Struthio camelus: one gene and its partner. Each later gene encodes a partner of the first gene's protein in a complex. Links are inferred from orthologs where the notes say so. Each region holds a gene or a part of one and is shown in the gene's direction. Other genes may lie near its edges. The genes, in order: RIPK2 and NGFR.

Evidence for each region.
Region 2: the proteins of RIPK2 (region 1) and NGFR are in contact, whole or in part, in an NMR structure (PDB 2N83), measured with the Homo sapiens proteins. The link is inferred for Struthio camelus from reciprocal best matches to the Homo sapiens genes RIPK2 and NGFR. Residues at the interface, in NP_003812.1 of Homo sapiens: Gln437, Ser465, Arg466, Asp467, Leu468, Met470, Glu472, Asp495, Ile496, Gln497, Gly498, Glu499, Glu500, Lys503, Ile523, Leu524, Val526, Ser527, Arg528, Ser529, Pro530, Ser531, Leu532, Asn533, Leu534, Gln536; in NP_002498.1 of Homo sapiens: Gly334, Leu335, Ser338, Leu339, Pro340, Lys343, Val347, Ser354, Ala355, Asp357, Arg360, His361, Gly364, Glu365, Tyr368, Pro370, Ile373, Asp374, Leu398, Asp399, Leu401, Leu402, Arg406, Arg407, Ile408, Gln409, Arg410, Ala411, Asp412, Val414.

What each region holds. Positions count from the first base shown.
Region 1 is NC_090943.1:151,163,510-151,174,108, reverse strand, and holds the start of RIPK2 (receptor-interacting serine/threonine-protein kinase 2), read left to right. Parts: upstream 1-6,224; 5' UTR 6,225-6,333; coding exon 6,334-6,521; intron 6,522-7,996; exon of another isoform or gene 7,997-8,136; intron 8,137-9,967; coding exon 9,968-10,121; intron 10,122-10,599.
Region 2 is NC_090966.1:5,125,139-5,135,426, reverse strand, and holds the start of NGFR (tumor necrosis factor receptor superfamily member 16), read left to right. Parts: upstream 1-5,938; 5' UTR 5,939-5,999; coding exon 6,000-6,083; intron 6,084-9,287; coding exon 9,288-9,429; intron 9,430-10,288. UniProt on the Homo sapiens protein: Low affinity receptor which can bind to NGF, BDNF, NTF3, and NTF4. Forms a heterodimeric receptor with SORCS2 that binds the precursor forms of NGF, BDNF and NTF3 with high affinity, and has much lower affinity for mature NGF and BDNF.

The sequences.
Region 1 (10,599 bases):
ATCCAAAACAGTATGCTACAATTTCAGAAAGAATTCAGATCATCTACTATTTAGGAACAGTCCTGTTAATGTATAGCACATGCTAACATGCAGGAGCTAAGGCTAATCTGAGACTATAGCAGCAACTGCAAAGAGCACTGGTTTCCATAGCATTCCCCTGTTGTAGCTCTCATTATCAATAGATTCCTGCACATGTATCACTACGCTGCCGCTGCAGCAGCAGGTAAAACAGGATCTGTCAGAATCCAAACACCTGAAATTTTGTTTCTGAAGATATCAGGACTGGGAACAATTTCCCATTGATATCATCAAGCAGAATTAGTTACTACCAAAATCCTGAATTCCTGGTATATGGATAGTATAAAACATGTATGAAAATATTCTTTAAAATAACCTATTACTAAAAAATGTGCATTCTCTTTTCATGTAACAGCATGGAAAATACACAAAAATCAAGGACAAAGGTGTTGTGATTATGGAATGAAAATTAATTTTCTAAAACATGGTGGTATTGTTTCCTTTATTTAACTCTGCATAAAAATATAACATTCAGGGACCGTCAAGCATTAAGAGAAGAATGTCAGGATATTTAAAATATAGATAACAGGGTATGTCATTTTTGAATCAAACAGTAAAAATACAGTAAAGTTGTATGAGATATATAAAACAGGTAAGTACATAAGAAGTCCATGTTCTGTCATCATGCTTTTATCACTTCATATGCTCATGTACATAGTTTTATCTAAGTGATATAGATTAGTGTATTTAAGATTAGCATTCTCTTGTCCTCAGGTTAGTCACAGGCAATACATTTTGATAACAGATATTAAATATTATATGTTGATAGAAAATTGCATTAATGACCCTGAACAAGTGTCCAATTATCTTTATATGACATAATCACCTTTGCTATTTGATTTTAATTGCTTGCCGTTAGCTTTTTTACTGCTCTGCTAAAAAGATGGCAGCTTGCTATCCATTTCCCCCCAGAATTCTGTGGGCAAGAATATACTTCTATTTTTGCTGGGCCTGGCATTTTAAAGCCTGCCATAAAAGCTATGCCACTTGCAAAATATCTGTAAATACCACAAAAATTAAAGTCGTTTAAAAAACAGGGGAATGTGAAGATATAGTCAAAGAAAGGCTGCGTCCATCAGGCAGGACAGGTGGTGAGCACCACAGTCCTGATGCCACTCTTTGGTGAGAGCTATTGGTAGATCTGCTTTCTGAATATTGCATCACTCTGTATGGAAGCGAGCACATAGGAAGCTGAGGGAAGTGAAGAGGGAGACTATGATGCACCTGTAAAATCTGTGCTCCTGTGAAATCTCTTCCCAGATTTTTTCCAGTTAGCTCCAGTGAGGTGATACATCCAGATAGAGCAGCTGGGAAATACTTATTGCTCCCAAAACACAGTCATAGCCTAAGTAGTTGACACAGTCTTCCAGTTTTGATAGTCTTCTGCCTACTGAGATCAAAGAGGAGCATTCAAGTGTCTCCTTTGCTCTTCATTGTAACTCCTGCTGTTACATTAAGTGTTATCAAGCCACAGTCTATGTAACAGACAAACAAACAAGGACAAAGGACCCGAGCCACGCAGTCAGTGTATACTACATTTTGGCAACTGGGTACAAAACAGAAAGATACCCTTTCTAAAGAACACGAAACAAAGAGAAACTACATTAAAAAGTAAGTATTTGGAAACATGACCCAGATTAATTTAGGGAAAAAATTACTGCTCTTGGGGCAGGAGTAAAGAAGTTGTAGAGATTACATCATAAAACCATAGCTTTTCAAAATCAGAGCATCTTGCCTTGACAAAAAAAACAAAACGTTCACCTACCTGTGCTGTTGTGGAAAGGCAGTTAACCTGGCGAATTTTAAAAACACAACTGAAATTTTGTGTGACACCCATAGAAATGAACGTACTAAAATTCGGCTGGATGGAGGGACAAGACTGCAAAAAATTACTTCAGAAACATGAGTTTATCAGTAAAGACATGCATGCAGTATGTACGCTCATCCTTACATATCTGTATAAATAGGGGAGCTGTGTATTTCAGGCCTATCTTGCAAATGGCAACAACCAGTTCCATAGCTGCATGCTCCTCAGAAAAACAAACACATAAACATTTCTGTATTTTATAGCCTCTTCTCAATATCTCTGTGAATATATCTACAGCAGAAATCTAACAGGTCTTTCCAGTTTATGCTGTCCATAGAGAAGAATGTCAGGAAAGAGATTGCACCTCAGTCTGGAAAACATGAGGAATTTTAATTATCATTTTGTTATCTTTTATACAGAGATACAAGGTGTGAAAAGCATTTTACAAGTCCACAGGTACTGAAACACAGTAGCTGCACTCCTTGATTTCACAACCTGTAAACTAAGCTCATCAATGTAACTGTTGTGCTTTCAAAATCAGTTTTGCCAAATACTTCCTAAATTCAAGAGAGAGCGATTTTTTTTCATTCATTGCACTAACAATCAAGGCATGAGGAACATCACAAAAAATGTACTGTTGCTCAGGGTCTTCACTTATCTCATTTATATGTGGACCTTCAGAAATTCCTATGTGAAGGGAAGAATCAGACCAAAGACTTCTCAATCAGAATGAAAAGGTCAATGGGGGAGTACTCATGGAGGATATGAGCAAGTGAAAAGTTGAAAGAAGAAACAACAAGTCAGCTGTTTATCTGCTACACAGTCCAAGCTTTAGTTTTATCAAAAGCTTAATTTACCTTGAGGATGCCCAAATGAGTAGGGATTCTGCCTACAGCCATATGTGAAGGACCTTGAACCTTCTCTTTTAGTACTAAGGAGTACTTTTTATTATTATGTCCATTAGAGAACAAGCAATGTCAAAGGTACAGTGTGTTGTACCAGGTCATTTATCACCTGATACAGTCAGACAGATGACATATTATAGATTACATCACCTATTCATTCAAATGTGGCAGACTAAATTAGGCAAATAAAGAAGTATTGCATAAAAAACATTAAAAGGTGATTAACAGATTAGCAGTTGTTTTTATTAGTATTCTATGCATCTTCTCTATTGCCAACTGCACATTTTCAAATCACAGTTTAATAGACCTGTTTTGCTAAAGGTCTTTGCAATAACAAGCAAAGCTGTCCTGATTTGGTCTGACAGGCAGCCCCAGGAACAGGAAGAAAAATAAATCTACTTGTACATCCCGCTCCTCATGCTCAGGCTCTGGGACCTAGATTCTGACTTTCTGATTTGTGTTCTTTCTTTATGTCAGGATTACTCAGATATAAATAATCAAGTTAATTTGACCGACCAGAAAGTCTGCTTGCTCACTGCTTTAGAACTTCCTACAGATTTAGGGAGTCTCCTCAGTGAGACTCCAAAAAACTGAAGTGGAAAATGACAATGCTTTGAGATTTAAATACGCTCAAGCTTCTTCTAGAAGAGCACTGTATCCCAATAAATACATTGCACAGGAAAGCACAAACTAGTACAGCCACAAGCAGCTTGACTAGACACTATCTCTAGCAGCGTCTGGCCCATACATCTGATCTGATCACCCTTCTCTTCTTGTAACAATCACACATTTGGGAAGTCCACCACATATTCTTCACTGACAAGAGTTATACTTCCTGTAGGAATGAAGTTTGAGGTGGCACCACTGTTGCATAAACAGATATGGGGAGTTTAACATGCGAGTGCGTAATTTCCTCAGTCCTCATTGTACTGAAGAAGTAGAAACTAATCTGAGCCTGCCATTTAGTTACTGACTACCCTTAAACCCCTTACTGATTTTTCTGGCACGTTGCTTTGCACTTATTACAGAAAGGGATCCTGCTTACTTTTAGAGACACCAAAGCGGTTTTAGGCAAAATCAGGAAGTCTGGGAACATTAAAGTTTAGATGTTTTGTATGTGATAAATAGCTGAAATAAGTCTTGTAGTAATGCAGAAAAACAGTTATGAAAGGTTTTTTCTCACAAAATAATTAAAAATGAGTGATTATAAAGAAAATCAACTACACATACTATGAGCGTAACACAAGCCTTTCAGCTATGAAGCTATGAACCAATTCACAGTTGGGAACAGAGTCAACAGGTATTGTTACACGGCCTTCCTGTATGCCACTACAGTGTGTAAACAGACTTGACTTAAAACCTTAATTATGCAGTTACTCTAAAAATCAGAATATCAAATATAATACTTTAATTGACAGTGTGTTATCTTTGACTTTTACAACCTTAACAGTTTCAGCAGAATCTCAAAGGAATATTTTAAAGCTTTGATCTGCACTGAAATTATTTTGTATTTTAGCAGCACAATTTATGCCACACACCTAGAACTATGAAACCTTAAACCAGCTATGATACCATTTAAGTTATCTGGCAGAATACCTTTCAAAATACTAAAGAAAAAAAGGGGGTTTCCAGATGCAGTAACATTTTGTTCTAATTTTCCCTTTCTAACCCCTCTTTGTCTTGGGAATTTCAAGCACCAGCTTATCTTTCCCGGAACTTGTGAGCCAGTGCGGCAGCAAAACATGCAGCTCCCCACCGTGCTATGGTGACGGAGCTCAAATCAAATGCAGAGTTCCTCTTCCCTTTCCAACCTCACGAGTAAGTCCATGTCTTCAAACTCTGGCATAATTCCTAAAGATCCAAAGCAGCAACTAACTACTTATGCCTGTTACTCGTCCTGTTTTCCTTTACTTTGATGAAAATGAAGTCAATTCTGCTTCCACTCCAGTAGCAGAAACTGATCCACTGTTGTATGAAAACAATGTCATACAGCTTGAGTTGATCCAAAACCCGTTGTTGTCAATAGAAATGGGCAGGATCTTTCAAAATAGTGGAAGACATATAAAACCTCCAAGTCACAAAAACTCTCCACATTTTATAATAAAACAAATAAGTTAAAAAGATTACAGTAATATTTTTGGCACTATTACTGCTCTGCCACTTTTAAAATCACAAACCTTTTCTTTTTTTTAGTAATTTAAAATTATAAATAAACAGGAAATCAGCAAAAACATGTGGCAGCAAGATGTGCAATTAACTTTCTGTACAGTGTCTTACAATTTTCAGTACAGGGACCTTTATAAGCCCTTAATGGGATATACCATAAATATGTCTTTACACAGTGTTTCTGTAGTACGTGCTTACCTTTGGTGTCCACCGCATCTTATTTTCTTTAGGTAAGAAAAACTTTCTTATACAACAAAGTTGAAGCAGGGTAACAAGTAACAGTACTCACATGCTAGATGGAGGGAGAGGCATATACATCGAATGGATGTGTAAACCTTGTGTGCCATAATGCCTAGAGATTACTCTGCGGCGAAACCACCTAGTGTATTTGAAGGATAGAGACTGAAATGAAAGCTGAGCGCAGAATAATTCTAGACTTCTTTATATGACTAATATAATGTTACCACTGTTGCAGCATGGGATACATATCCTCCAAAATACAAGAAAACTGGGGAAAGACAGCATAGATTTGCCACTACCTGAAGTAAAGAGGCTGGGACCGAGACGGAGGACCAGAAAAAAAAAACTGTTAGGCCTTAAAACGCCGTTGACGTATTGCACAACGCCACAGGCTGAAAATCTGGCTTCTCTCCCTCGTCCTCCGCTCCCTACCCGCTCCTGGGAGAGGAGAGGGGGGGAAACGGCCTCCAGGCGGCCCGAGGGGAGAGCTGAGGCCCGCGCCCCGCGCCCCCCGCTCCGGCCTCGGCTCGGAGGCGCCTCGCCGCGCCGCCAGGCCGGGGCTCGGCTCGGGGAGGCGCAGGGCCTCGGCACACCTCCTGCGCGGCCCCCGAGCCCAGCTATCGGCTCGCCGGGCGCATCGGCCCGGGCGCCGCCGGGCTGCCCGTTTCCTCCTTCTGGAAAACTCTCGGAATGCTCTTCTGCGGGCGGAGGGCGCTACCCTCCGACACCCGGCGCGGGGCGCCCCCGCAGGGGCGGCGCGACCTGCCCGCCCTCCTCCTCTATCGGAAAAAGTGAGGAGACACCGGGAAGTGCACGAATGAGCGGCGGCGGCGCGGGGGGCGCCGCGCACCTCCCTCCGGCCGCGGCAGGAGCCCTCTCGCCGCCCCCTCCGGGCAGCCGGGAGCCGGGCCGGGCCGGGCCGCTCTGGCTGCGGCGGGGCGGGGCGGGGCGGGGCGGACGGCGAGGACCTGGCCCCGGCCCCGGCCCCAGCCCCAGCCCCGGTCCCGGCCTCGGCGCCGGGCGCGGCGGGGTGTTGCGTCGCGCCGCGTCAGGTCGGGTCGGGTCGGGTCGGGTCGGGTCGGGTGGCGCCTCCCCCGCGGGGCCGTGGAGTCGCGCCTCCCGCGGCGCAGTGCGAGGATGAGCGGCGGGGAGGGTGGCGGCCAGGCGGGCGCCATCAGCTGCGCCCTGCCCTCCATCCCCTCCAACAAGCTGCCGGACCTGCGCTTCCTCAGCCGCGGCGCCTACGGCACCGTCTCCGCCGCTCGCCACGCCGACTGGCGGGTCCCGGTGGCCCTCAAGAGCCTGCAGGGGCCGCTGCTCGAGAGGTACCGGCGGGGGCAGGGGCCGCGGCCCCGCGTCGGCTGCTGCGAAGCGGTGGCGTTGTCCACCCGCCCACCCGTGGGCGAGCCGGGGAGGGGAGGGCCCGTGTGGCGGAGCTCTGCGAGCCGGGGGGGGCCGTGTGGCGGAGCTTCGCGAGCCGTGGCGGAGCCGGGGGGGGGCCGTGTGGCGGAGCGAGTTCCGCGAGCTGTGGCAGAGCCGGGGTGGGGGGGGTCCGTGTGGCGGAGCGAGCTCCGCGAGCCGTGGCGGAGCCGGGGTGGGGGGGGTCCGTGTGGCGGAGCGAGCTCCGCGAGCCGTGGCGGAGCCGGGGGGCGGGGGGGTCCGTGTGGCGGAGCTCCGCGGAGCCGGGGGGGGGGGTCCGTGTGGCGGAGCGAGCTCCGCGAGCCGTGGCGGAGCCGGGGGGCGGGGGGGTCCGTGTGGCGGAGCGAGCTCCGCGAGCCGTGGCGGGGGCGGGGGGGTCCGTGTGGCGGAGCGAGCTCCGCGAGCCGTGGTGGAGCCGGGGTGGGGGGGTCCGTGTGGCGGAGCTCCGCGGAGCCGGGGGGGGGGGTCCGTGTGGCGGAGCGAGCTCCGCGAGCCGTGGCGGAGCCGGGGGGCGGGGGGGTCCGTGTGGCGGAGCGAGCTCCGCGAGCCGTGGCGGAGCCGGGGGGCGGGGGGGTCCGTGTGGCGGAGCTCCGCGAGCCGTGGTGGAGCCGGGGTGGGGGGGTCCGTGTGGCGGAGCGAGCTCCGCGAGCCGTGGCGGAGCCCGGGGGGGGGTATAGAGTATATGGAATATGTAGTGTAGTGCATAGAATATATTACTGTGTGCGCTGCCGAGTGCAGGGACCCAGGATAAGCTTCTCCAAGACAAAACATAATAGATTTTTGCCCCAGATCGCAGGTACTGAGACAAGCTGGTTGGGAATGGTAGGTGTGTAGGGCTCTTGCCTACAGGTGATATCTCCCTTAAGCTCTGCAGCTCAGCCGTCGTGTTCCCCGCTCTTCTGGGCACCAGGTTGTAGCCTGTTTGCCGCAGGAGTTGTCGTCCTAAATAAGGATGCAGCAGGCTGTAGTTTTCTTCCACCTCTGCCTCCTTCACTCTCTACAGTGCCTCTTTTTTAACCAGGTCGATGCCAGTTCATCTTAGGCTGTTGAAGACTATAAACTTGCCCCTTTTTTTCTTATCTAGGTGACTTTCGCCTCCATGAACTCATTTCTTTGGATCTAGTGTTAGGTGTTCAGGCAGAATAACTTCACTGAAGTACAGATAGCCATGTCTATGTGTGCGTTTGTGTGTGTATGTGTACACCAGAGGGACAGGGGGGTGCATATACCTGCGTGTGTGTATATACATGCATGTAAAAACTTTTCAACTTTCCTCAATGTTTTTTCTTTATATTAAATTATCTGCTTCAATCCCCGCTTATCCTGAATATAGCGCTTCTCCTTTCAAATTGATTGGGAAAGAACAGTCAATAGTATTTCTAGCCTTGCCAGAATTTAGATCAGTGTGACATGAAATCCAGGAAGTTTTGACAAAGGGGGAAACTGAGGCAGTCAGAACAACTCAGCCCTCAGCCGTGGATCATGCAGAGCTCGGAAATGCTACGAGAATAACCTAAAGCTGTAAGAAATGCTGCGCCTGAGTTTTTGTGACAAGAAAATTGTCAGTGGTGTTGTAGGTAGCGTAAGAGTTTGGTCTGTAAGTGCTGTCAGGAAAAGGGAAGTTCACAGTGCAGTTAACTCCCCAAACAGGAAGCCTGCGCTGTGCATCCCAGAATTTGGTCTGTGCGACCTGCTGAGCAGCAGAGCCTGTTTGGAAGCTGTTGTGGGCTTGCACTAGCTTTGGCATTACTCAATGCTCTTCCGCTATGGAGCGGAGAAAGGTGAACTAATTTATAGATCCAGGAACAACCCTCGGTATGTTGCAACTTGTTTCCCAGTTACAGCAGAATCTCATGCAGATCTGCCTCATAGCCTGGGAAAACCCCTACTTTCTCTAAGCTAGTGTTTTTTGGAAGGAGAGAGTTACATCCCTGGCTTTCCTTGAGGCCTGCCTTTTCCCTCAGATCATTTTCTAGAGTTTCCTGTAACAGGAGGGTTTTTTTTTTTCTCCATCATGAAGATGTTTTGCTTTCTATTTCCTACATATTGAAAGCAATTTCACATACCTCTAAATTTTAAATTCTTCTGTCATAAAAGCAGCAAGCTTTAGTTTTCTAGGCTTCCTTTTTTCCCCCATGTACTCTGAAGGCCTTCTGATTGTGAGGGCTAGGTCTGCACTGACGGGTCCAGACAGACTTGAACTCTTCTGTCGATCCAGCGCAGGGCACAGACTAAAGCCAGCTCTCATCTGGGAGCGGTATGGCCGTATTAATATGGCAGTGCACTGAGCAAATCTTGATCGGCGTTGACTGTTAGCCTGTGTGCAGCCCTGCACACCTGATGGCTTCTGAATCAGGCTGCCTGGTCAGTCTTAGATGGGCTGCAATAGTCCAGCATTTGGATATCCCAGTCATGCACTTGTATCTGTACCAGGCTCCACTGATGTAAAAGCTAAATCTTTTTTTCTTAGAATTATCTTTCTTAGTCCGAGTATCCTCAGTATTAATAACCTGTTTGTTCAAGAACTTTTGAGACATAAAACGTGTCAAAAAATTGTCTTCGTTATTCTTAGGAACAGAAGTGTACTCTTACTTTGTTTTAAATAAAATTTCAGCTGCTTATATTCGTATGCAGCAAGGTATACTTACATGTTTGTAAAGATGCCTCAAGTTCACGTTTATGAGGAGGCTTGGCCTTAGCAAAGAATATTCACACCACCGAATTCAGGTGGTCAGGTGTCAGGTCAGCTTCGCTGTGCTCCCTGTATAATCAGAGAGCACTTTCTCCAGAGGCCAATTCAAACAGGGCCCAGTCTAAGAGAAGAGTTTATGTGATGACAAAGCATACTTGATCATTACTTTTCCTTCAGAAACTGAAATTGTACTCCTTTAACCGACATTATTTTAGTGCACAGCAGTGCTGACTGAGTTAAAACAATTGGAGACCTGTGAGCAAAGTGTTAAATTCTCCATTTTACAGTAGACAAATAGTGGTCGTCCTTGAAAACTCAATATTTGAAGATGGGCAGTAAAATAGGATAAATATAGTTAGATATTACTGTCATTATGGTTAGACAGGATGGTAGAAGTTGGAGTTCTCGTTATGTCCTCATTTACTGGAAACACGGAGGAAATGTGTTGTGTGGTACAACAAAACTAGAGAAGCTATCTTGTGCTTGCATTTGTAGATTCTAATTTGTCTTTCCGTATTTTGTTATAGAAACTGCGTAGTAGGAAATAAATTGTGAAAGATGGTGCTACTGCATATAGGAACACAATTATATAAAGTGAATTGAATGAACCTTACCTTTGCAGTATTAGTACAGTAACCCCTTTTTTCCTTTTTCTTTAAGTGATAGAAACCACCTTCTGAAAGAAGCAGAGATATTACACAAAGCCAGGTTTAGTTACATTCTGCCAATTTTAGGAATTTGCAATGAGCCTGAATTTCTGGGGATAGTAACAGAGTACATGACAAATGGATCATTAAACCAGCTTTTACATGGGGTAAGTCTGCTTGAAGCTCTTCAATACAATCCCTGGTTGGTTCAAATATACTGTGATATCCATTCTAAAGGGAAGTGGTGTAGTAAAATTTAATATTAATAATATTTCAAGTTAAAGAACAGCCAGCATTGGTACTGGTTTTCATTGCTCAGACTTTCTTCTCCCTAAAAAGACAGCTGAAGTCAGTAGACTTCAGTTTTAATACGCTCTTTCCTTTAATACTCTGCTCTGTAACTCGCTTAATGACGAATTATTATATATAGTCACTTAAAAAAATCTCTGAGGTTCTCTAGTTAGAAGCAGAAGTAGTTACGCTCACTTCGGTCTGTGTTTCAGAAATGTTGGCAGTGTAAATATCACAAAAAGATGGATTTATCTCCTTAAGATGACCTTTTTTAAAAAAATTGAATATTTTGACTCTATATTTGCGAATATTGCAAATCTAAGCAGATACGGATATTTCTGTTGGGCCTTACTT
Region 2 (10,288 bases), on another chromosome or scaffold:
CGGCCAGACGCGACAAGGCCACGGCACGAGAGTGGCCAGCGGTGCTGCGCATGGGCCCGGGCTGCTCTCACCTCCTTCCACCGTGGGAGCAGCCAGCACAAGACTCCCACCCTGCATGGCAGCAAGGGCAAGAGGGGAAAAAAAGAAGCATCTGCCTCCCTTCTTTTATGCCAGGTGTGATGCCCCCACCCACCACCCAAACGACCAGCTCCCTTCTTCTACCCACCTTAAAAGCCCTTAAGTGAAGCCAGCTGGGCTCAAACCCTGTTGGGATCCTTCCCTCCAACCCCCTCCCCGACTTGCCTGAGCATCATTGGGATGAGGCTACGGAGGCCCCCAGCATCCTTGAAAGTGGACAATTTGGGGAAAAAGACAAGAGGAGGGGGGTCTGCAGGGACACAAGGGCTTAAACTCCAGGTTGGCCCTCAAGCCAGTCTCCTGGGGGGTTGGAGGAAAGCTGGAACAAAGCATTTGGAGAACACATGGGTCCAGCGTGTCCCGAGCAGCGTGTGAGGCTGGAACGGGGTCGCTTGCACCGCTGGACATCCCAGCCCAGCTTTCCAAGCAGAAAACCCCCCATTGGCCTCCTCTCCTTGCAGCGCCGCGGTGGAAAACAGCCTGTGATCTGCTCCTGCCCTGGGCCAGGCTGGGAGGTTTCGTGCCTCCGCTTTGTGCTCAGACGCACACAAAAGCGGCTGCAAGGAGGAGGATGCTGCAGCCGGGGCCTGCTGAAAGCAGTTGCCATAGGGACATTATCGCCCAGCGTCAGCCTGGACTTCTTTGCTCCCGCTCCCTCCTTGCCTTAGCTTTCACCCTCCTTGGCATCGGTGTCAGGGAGCCGAATTCAGACTGTGCAAGCGAAACCTCCCCACCGCGCACGGCGGCCGCGCCGGGGCACCGAGCCGCGGCGTCTCGGCGGCAAACCCACCGCCCCGCTGCCAGCTCCGCGCCGGCCCCGCTGCATCCCCCGTGGTGTCCCCGGGAGTCGCACGACACACCCGCGTTAGCTGACATCCCCGACACCGTCATTATTCCAAGAAGCCAAACTCGCTCACGCTCTTTTTCCCCCGCTAAGTGCTCCAAAATACTTTGAATTGTAATCAAAACTGCAGGAGACGATACGAAGCTTTCGCCTTTCAATGTGGCGGATTGCATTGTTGCGTTAGAAGGAGAACAAGCGGTTATCGTTAAGGTTCCTCTCGCCGGGTTTGCCTGCACCAGTGACAGCCGGACAACCACCACCACGTTGCAGGGCTTCAGCTTGCGGGACCGACAGATGCCGGGAGGCTCTGGAGCAGCTTTGCGCTCTCCTGGGCTGTAGGCATCCATACCGGGGCTCTAGCAGTGTAATTACATCCATATGGAAAAGCCGACGCTGCTACCCAGCCCTGGGTGGCCCAGGCTGGAGAGCAGCAACGTGCCCTTCCCGGGACCCTTCGACCAGGGCCTGCCCGGGAGGAAACGTGCTGTCCTAAGAGCTGCAATTTGGAGCATAAAATGAAAAAAGAGCCTTTCCCAGGCACTGCTGCGCTCAGTTTTCTCTCTCCTGGGGCTGGCGGACGCAGCCCTCTAGCTCCAAGGCACCGGCGGGTTTGGTGCAAGCCTGGTGGCTAATGAAATATGCAGAGACAGAGCTAATTGGCAAACGGTTCGTCCTGCTGGAAAGCACTCAGCCGCCAGCCGGGATGTTCAGCCCCCGCGGCCGGGCTTTGGCTGGCATCAGGAGAGGTCTGGGTTCGTTATAAAGCTCTAATCTGATCAGGTTTATGAAAGGCTTGGAGGAAGTTGCAGCGCGATGGTGCAGGATGCTGCTCAAAGGTGGAGACGAAACGCCCGTCCGCAGGGGCTTTAACCGAGCGGTCCTGGAAAGAGCCCCAATAGCTCTATGCACGCAGCAAAACAGCAGCTCCCCTTTCCAGCTAGCTCTGAGCTCGGCAGGGATGCATGGGGAAACTGAGGCACGGTGAAGTTGCAAGCTGTATTGCTAATACGTCCGCCAACACAGACCCCACTTGGTGTGGGGCAGATGCCAGGAGTTGGGGGGAAGAGGCAAAACGCCCCTGGACCTTGCCTGGGCAACATGCAGTCTGAAAAAAACAGCTGAAAAAAACATCCCATAACAGAGTAAGCATCGAGTCATTAAAATTAATGCCTATTTTTTGCAGGGAGGGAGAAAAAAAAAAAAAGAAACAGCTGAGAGAGCCAGGAAAAACCTCCCGCTGAGTCCTGCTGCCCAGGCTGCGCCGCCTGCCTTGCTCCGTCCTTATCGACGCAGCCAAGGGTTTGACATTCATTTCCTCCCAACAGCAAAATTCTTGATCCATCAGCAACAAAACTGAATCAATGGGTTCCCAAAAGCTGGGCTGGTGAGAAGAAAGCCAGCCCTGCCCCTGACATGTGGAACCAATCAATACCTTAACCAGAAAAATATTGATACTCTTGCTGCTGTGGACATATTTATGTCCTTTATTATACGTGTCACCAGGAGTGACTTTTTTTCTGCCCCTTGCCTGGCTCTGAATGCAGTCTCTCATTTTAAATTTTGCAAAGTCTCGTTTCTCGGGGAGGGAGATGGAGGGAAATCACGGTCTGTTTTTACTGTCTCACTATTTTACCATCGCTCCATCCCGAGAAGGGATTGAGTTTCCTGGACACTGTGGTCTCTGCTCTCAGGAGATTGCTTCGGTCATTCCTTATAAGGAACCAAAGATTCATTTCACACATTACCATGAATACCCCCCGCTGCTCTTCAGGGTGATGGATTGCACTGAAAGAACAGTTAAAGAAGGAAAAAAAGGAACAAAGGGAGGATGGGCAACCTGAAAGCAGGAGATTAACAAGGGAAAAAGAGGCTGGAGGATTAGAAAGAAGCATTAGGAGAAATTATAGGAATGGATATCAAGGGGTGTAATAAAAACCAGATTGGAACACTTTGATATTAATGGAAATCAGGTTTTTGGGGAGTTGGGGAATGTTATATCCCTTCTACCTCAGAGCGACGGGTTTAGGGTGCTGCAGCCTCACGAGCCCGAAGCCGAACACCCTCGACCCGAGATCCTCCCCACCGGGGCGATTTCGGGCCAGCATCCAGCTGCTCCAGGCTACCCGGGGGCTACAGCCAACCTCGCAGCCCTGCAGAGGGGTGCCCAGGCACCGAGGTGGCCCCGCACCAGCCCGGCCGCCCCGCGGGGTCCCAGTGCCGGGCAGGACGGCGGCAGGAGGGACGGGGCCTTGCGCCGGGGCCGCCGTGCCCTGGGCGAGTGCCTTGCACTGATTTGGAGGCAGGATGCGGGAGCCGCGAGGGCACCTCCGAGTCGGAGACCCGGCTCTCGCGGCTCTTCCCCGGACACACCGGTATTAGTGAGTCCTTGCAACGCTCCAGGAAGGGGAAAGGGGTGTGGGGGGGTTATCAGCAATCCCTCCCCAGCTTTCTAAACCAAGGGAGCAGTTTTGCCATGGTAAAATAGCTCCGAGCCCGGAGCCGCGTGCGTTGGCTGCGGTTTTGCCGGGGAAGGCGTTCGGCCGTTTCTAGATCGCAGTTTGAGACGGAGCCGTTCTTCCCCGCGCTCCCCGTCGGCCCCCTCACGGGAAATAAGCGGGCGGTTTTGGAGCTGCAGAGACGCCGAGGAGAGCACGCAGGCGAGCAGCCCGCCTGTGCGCCTCGCTCCGCGCGCGTCGACCTTGGACTGGATCCTCGAAAGCTTTTACGTGCCTAAATCCCATTGATTTAAACGAGGATCAGAGGCTCAAATACCACGGGAGCCCTTGGCCTCAGCTCATTGCTTCCTGCTCTCCAGCGGTGGGCTTGGCTCTCGCCAAGGGTCCCAAGCGGGCCAAAATGGTTCAAATGAAAAGGTCTCATTTCCTATTGGAAAAAGTGAATTTTCTTTAACCAAAAAAAAAAAAAAAGCCTTGTTTATATGAATTCCTCTCCACCCTCCAGAGACTGTCTTTGGAGAAAAACCCTTACGGTTCCTGGCAAGGTGCAATCCTCCAGCCCTGCCTGAAGGCAGCCGCAATAGCCCCGCGTTTGGGCAGATCACCCTCTGGGATTATCCCCAGCCCGGATTTCCTCCCCGTTCCCCGCGAAGGGACGCGCTCCCGCCCGGCCCGTCCGTCGCTCCCCAGCGGTCCCAGCCCACCGATGACGCCTCTCGCCTCGCCGGACACCAAAGCCCGTTTCACAATGGTTTTTTGCGCGCTCTGCTCATTGCAGCCCTTTATTTATGCTCTCAGCCCTGGCTGTGAACGGCCCGGGCAGCGCGATGAGATTGTCTCGATATGTATTATTTATTCATCGTTATTTATAACTTACCATTACCGCGCTACTGTCTTTGTCGGGAAAGTAATTACCTACGCTTTTTAGTAAAATCGATACAAAGTTTGCAGGCAGGAACTAGCGGGGAGTGTTTAACCGGAGCCTATTTCTGGGGGCTCCGGTGGGTCCTCGTGGGGCGACGGGGGACAAGCTCGCCTGGGTTCGCTCGGACACCTTTGGCCTTCACGAGCGCTCGGGGAAGACCCGGCCGAGCCTAAAGACGAAGAGCGAGAGAGCTCGTTGCTCCAAGGATGCTCTGTCCTTGAGCGAGACTTAATGGGATATTTCACCAGTTGGGCTTTCGCTAGTCAAACCTGCCTTTATCCGGGGGAGGGAGGCACCCGCGAGCGCGGCCGTCCCGGCCTCGCCGAGCAGCTCTTGCCGGCGACGTTTCCACCCTGCTCCATCCGCGCCGGCCAACGACACGGCCTCGCGCATCCTCGCCGGCCGTGCAGCTCGCTCCGGCTGCAGGGTGCAAGCGGAGGGCGATGCCGGCGCAGGCTCTGGCCCCGCTCGGCGTTGCCGCAGGGTCGATCCAGAGCGAGCCACATCAAAGCTGCGCTCCGCCAGCAAATAAATCCTTTGAGCCTTTGGTTTTAATTCGCAGAGGCAACCGCAGACCTTTAAGAGCCCCTCCGTCACTGCACAGAGCCAGGAAAGGGCTGCGAGCTCTTTGGGACAGAAAAACGCGCGAGGGGGATTTAAGGAAAAGCGCCGGCGAGACCGTTCGCCGAAGCAGCCGCGGAGGGTTACGCCGGGAGCAGAAGTTTCCGCTCACCTTCGCTGCTGCCGCCCGGCCTAGCGGACATTTCGGGGCACAGTGGCACCCGACAGCGTCCGCTGGGTCATTTTCAAACCAACCTGCTTTATCAAAGCCACCATAAAACCCCCCCAGAAAGAGCCCTTCCGGCCCCGGCGCGCTCTGGCGAGCCCCCCCCCACCGGCAGCACCGCGCTCAGCTGCCCGGGCCGGGGTCCGTCACCGAGGCCGGGGAAAGGCCGCGACGCTTTCGACCCTCTCTGCCCGCTAGCGCGGTTTAACCCATCGCTGCAGGCTCAGGCCGAAGCAAGACAGAGTTGTCCTTGTAATAAAAGCGGGAAGCTTTGCAGGACGCGAAGGAAACCGATGCGGTTGCGTCAGTGCCGAGGGTGGGTTTACGGACGGTCCCCCTGGGGCGCGCACGGGGGGGACGTCGCCCCCCCCAACCCGGTCCCCGAGGGCTGCGATGGGCCAGGCAGCAGCTCGGGTGCCCGGGCGAGGGGGTGTCTCCAAAGCGGGCGCCTGCGGGACCACTGTCCCTGCCTGGAGGAGGTCCGGTCACCCCATCCCGTGCGCCCCGGAGCATCTCGGCGGGCTGCGACGTGACCAGCCATCGGGGGGCCGGAGCGGGACGAGGCGGGCGGGCGGCCGAGGGTGCAGGGGGGCAGGCGGGCGGCGGCGGCAGGTGCGGCGGGGGCGCGGCGCGGGGGGCTGCCGGGGGTCGGCAGCAGGGTGCTGGCTGGCGCGATGCTCCGGGGGCGGAGAGGACGAGGAGGAGGAGGAGGAGGAGGAGGGACTTGCAGGCCTTTTTTCGCCGCTGCCGGGGCGGCGGGCGGGCAGAGGGAGGCAGCCCGGCCGCGGCAGGCGCTGCTCGGCTCGGGGCGGGGGGGGGATGTGAGGCGGCGCCGCCGCCCCGGGGACCATGGCCGGGCTCCTGCCGCCGCCGCTGCTGCCGCTGCCGCTGCCGCCGCCGCTGCTGCCGCTGCTGCTGCTGCTGCTGCCGGCGGTGAGTGCCGGGGCGCGCCCGGAGGGGCCCCGCCATGGAGCATCCCCGGGGGGGGGGGGGCTGCGCAGCCCGGGCAGAGGCACCCCGAGGCACCGGGCTGGAGCAAGGGGACTCCCAAACACGCAGGCTGGAGGGTCCCCGAGGCACCGGGATGGCGAGTCCTGAGGATACGGGAGCGGCGGGTCCCGGGGGACCCGCCTAGAGCACCCCTGGGTGCCGAGGGAGGGAGCAGGGGGGGGCGGCGGGACCGGGCAGACACGGCTTGCGCTACCCCGAGCAGGGGGCTCAGTCACCCTTTTCCACCGGGAAGGCTGATACAAAGGGCAGTGCACGGCGGGGGGAGAAAGCAATCCCCACCCTGGTAGCCCCATCTCCCACCCTCCGGTGTCTGCACATCTCCCCCAGACCTGCCTTGCCCTTCCCGGCTCCAAACCCGCTTCCCCGGAGCGTGGGAAAGAGCCCCCTTCCCCGGGGCGAGCCCCCAGCAAGGGCGACAACCGGAGCCGAGACTTCGGGGCAAGGGGGAGCCCAGGAGAGGGGAAAAACCAGGAGCAGAGCAGACCTACGGCCCTGCCTGGGGCAGACACAGGGCTTTTGCTGCAGGACGGTTTGGTGCGGGTCCCCGAGGTTTCGTTAGGCAGCAGGACACCTTTCGGACGGGGCGTTAAACCTGGTGCTTTAGCCAGTGTGGCGCAGAGACCTGGATGGAGAGCGCTGTTCCTTGCTCCGCTCCGGAGGGTCTCCATCCCCGCGGACGCCGGGTACCGCTGCGGAGAGGAGCGGGGCTGGCCGCGCTCGCCCCGTCCCCGAGGCCGCTCGGTGGCAGACGGAGAGGCAGGAACCGTGCTGGGGAATCGATTGAAACGATTTCGCCCCCGGGGAACAACGGCCCGGGGAGGGGGGGCAGCCAGGCGTAGGCGTCCCCCGCGACCACCTCGCGGGGTCCCGGCTGAGCGCCGAGAGAGGACGGCGGCGGCTCGTCGCCAGGGCACTTGCCGGCGTTTAGCGCTGGATGTGACCCCCTAGGCTTAGACCTGCCAAGTCCATCCGGTCCTGGGAGCCGGGAGAGGGAGCGGGCAGAGCCCGGCTGCTGCTCCGGCTCCTGCCCGGGGGGGGGCCGCGATCCAGCTGTGCGGCCACCGCTGCGGCCAGCGGCCCGACAACCCGGCCGTGGGAGCCGTGCCGCCCCTCGCCTCCGCTCTCGGCCCGCACCGCTCGGAGGGCGGCCGAGCCCCGCGGGACCCGCCGCGCCGAGGCTTGGCGGCACGCGCCGGATTCAGACGCGGCTTCCTCCCTCCGCTGCCCCAAGTTTGGGGATCGCTCGGAGCCAGAAAGGGGGGTGGGAGGTGGGGGCACATCGCCAAGAAGCGCGGCGGCCCCCGCCCCGGCAGGCTGGCGGGCGCTTCGCGTCCCGGCTTGCAGCTGGGCCCGTCTCCAGCCGCGGCGGCGAGGCCGGCCCCCCGCCCCAGCGCCTTTTCCGCGCCAGCGTTTCGGCGGTGATGGCGATGGTGCGTCGCCGAACCGGCGCGCTGCGAGAACCCTTCCTCCAGGGCCAGCTCCACGCCGGCCCGCTCTGCCGCGAGAGCAAAACGGGCCGGCGCCACTCAGCAAGCGGTTAAAAGCCCGCAAAGGCGTCGTGCTCACCCTCAGCACGTCCCCCCCCAATCCCCCCCCCCCCCCCAAAAAAACCCCTTTTCGGTCCAGCTGTCAAAAACGCTTTACGGCGTTAATACCTGCGGCTTTGTCAACAGGCGCTGCGGTAACGAGGCGCACGTGCCAGCGGTCGCGCGCGGACCCCCGCGCCCCTCTTGCAAGCGCCCTGGTCTTTCCGGGGGTTTGGGATATCACGTTTTTGCACGCCGCTGAGCGGCGCCGAGGCGGCCGGCGGGCAGGGACAGGCGGCAGCGGCGGCTCCTGCGTCGCGATGCAGGGCATCCCTGGGTGGCAGAGCCGGGGTTGGGGCCGGGGGGGGGGGTCCGGGAAGGAAGCGTTGCAGCCAGACCCCGCCGGGGCAGCCCGCACGGAGCGGCGTGGGAGAGCTGGCCGCGTCGGCCCCAGCTGCGCTGGCCCGCTCCTTCCCAGCGCTATTTATAGCGAGGCGCGTTCGGTAGCTCCCCCGGTCCAGCTGCCGCTCCCCCCCCCAACCCCGGCGCGGGCCGCCTGCCAGGACCCCCCCACGCCGCAGCAGACCCCTGCCCCAGCCGGGGGGACTGGCGAGCGGCAGCCCGCGCTCTGCCAGGAGGTGCCGCGGGCAAGCTCCGGCCGAGCTGGATTTGTCCCGCTGGAGAGGCATCCGGCTGCACGAAGCAAGCCCGTTTCCCAGCTGTCGTCTGGGGGTGCAGGGAGGGTCCCCGCCCCCCCCCCCCGGTGCCAGGGCCCAGCGCCGCGGAGGGCGGCGAAGCAGCACCAGCGCCCAGAGCACATGCTTTCAAGCGCAGGGTAATTGGAGCACTTTGTCATTCAAATGCCTATAATTGGCGCTCCATTGTCTCCGGCCGGATGATGCACAGAGCCGAGTTCATAACTGGAGCCGAGTTCATAACCGGCGCTGGCCGAGGAGGCGGCCAAGAGGCCGACAAGGCAGCCGGAGGCCCAGGGAGCGGAGACGCGGGGAGGCGGCATCGCCTCCCGGCCCCGGGCAGGCGGCAGCTCGCGTTTCTTCCTGCAAAGACGGCTTAGCTCAGCGTCCCCAGCACCTTCTGCCCCTCCTGCCCATCCTTCCTTCTGCACAAACGCAGCCCTGGCTGCAGCACGAGGGAGCAAGAAATAGCCCTGGCAAAGACTCGGGTAGCCCCTAGCCCCGCTTCCCACGCCCCAGCGGACCCGGCCAAGAGGTGTTTTGGGGACCGGCCGGTCCGCGAACGCTCCCAGAGCTGCAAAGTGCATGTGCAGAGCTGCCCTGACCGCACCGCTTGCGGCGGGTTTATTGCTTCCAGATGAGGCAGCAGGCTGCTCTGCAAGCAAATACGCTGCCTTGCGTTAGGCAGCAACGCCGCTAAGGGTCTCGGGGCTCTCTCCAAAGTCACTTCCATTGCGGGGGGGCTCTGATTTCAGGTCCCCACATACAGTAAAATCACTGCACTGAGCTGGGACCCAGGTTTCCCGAATCGCCCGCTGCCCGGACGGGATGCGTTTCTCCACCTGCCCTCGCAAGGGGCAAGCCCCGTAACGACAGTCGCCTCCGGGCTCCCTTTTCTCTGGCAGGGACCCGCCTGGGCCTCCAAGGACAAGTGCTTCACCAAGATGTACACGACGAGCGGGGAGTGCTGCAAAGCCTGCAACCTGGGCGAAGGCGTCGTGCAGCCCTGCGGCGTGAACCAGACCGTCTGCGAGCCCTGCCTGGACAGTGAGTAGGGCGGCACGCGCTCCCCTCCGCCGGAGGGGCTTTGGGCGTCGTGAGCGTTAGCAGAGCCTCGGCTCTCCCCGCGTGCATCCTCTTGCCTTCCCCGGAAGCGTTGCTTGGGCGGGATCGGCAGATTGTTTTGCCCTTTGTCTCAACGAGGGAGCAGAAGTCCCGGGCACGCACCAGCTCCGCCGTGCTCGCCGCCTTCCCAGGCCACCAACCTCCACCCGAGCAGCCCAGATGTCAGGGTTACTTCCAGCATTTCCCCAAAGCCACGGGACACCCGTGCCCAGCCCCAGACACGGCAGCTCTGGGGCAGCAGCCTGGGCAAAACCCCTTCAGCCCACGGCACGTTGCCACGTCCCTCTTCCTCCCTTCCTTCCCCGAAGGCTCCCCAGCTACGGGTCAGTGGCCAAGCTTTGCCTCCGACACTTTCCCCTCCCCAGGCCGACTCCGCGTTGGTCTCCGATCCGGCCCCCGTCTCCCCATGAGCCCCCTGTATTTTTTAAGGCAGCAAAACCTGCAGAATAGAAGCGAGGTTGGTGGGAGCGAGGCAAATCACAGCGGTCGCCACCAGAGCGGGAGCAGAGCTTGCTGCCGGCCGGCTCCAGGCACATTGCCTCTGCCAAACACTTCCTAAAAGTCAGAGATGAGTGCTGGCCACCTGGATAAATGCTTACAGATGAAGCGGCCCAACTATTATTATTTATACAATGCCACGATATGCACAAGCAATCTGCCCCCTAAATTTACTGCTGCAAACTCTCTGAAGGCCTCAAACAGGGCTGAGGACAGGCACGAGCAGCATCGTCTGAGCCATCCGAGCCCGTGCCGCCCCGAGGGTGGGGGGCGACAGGGGAAG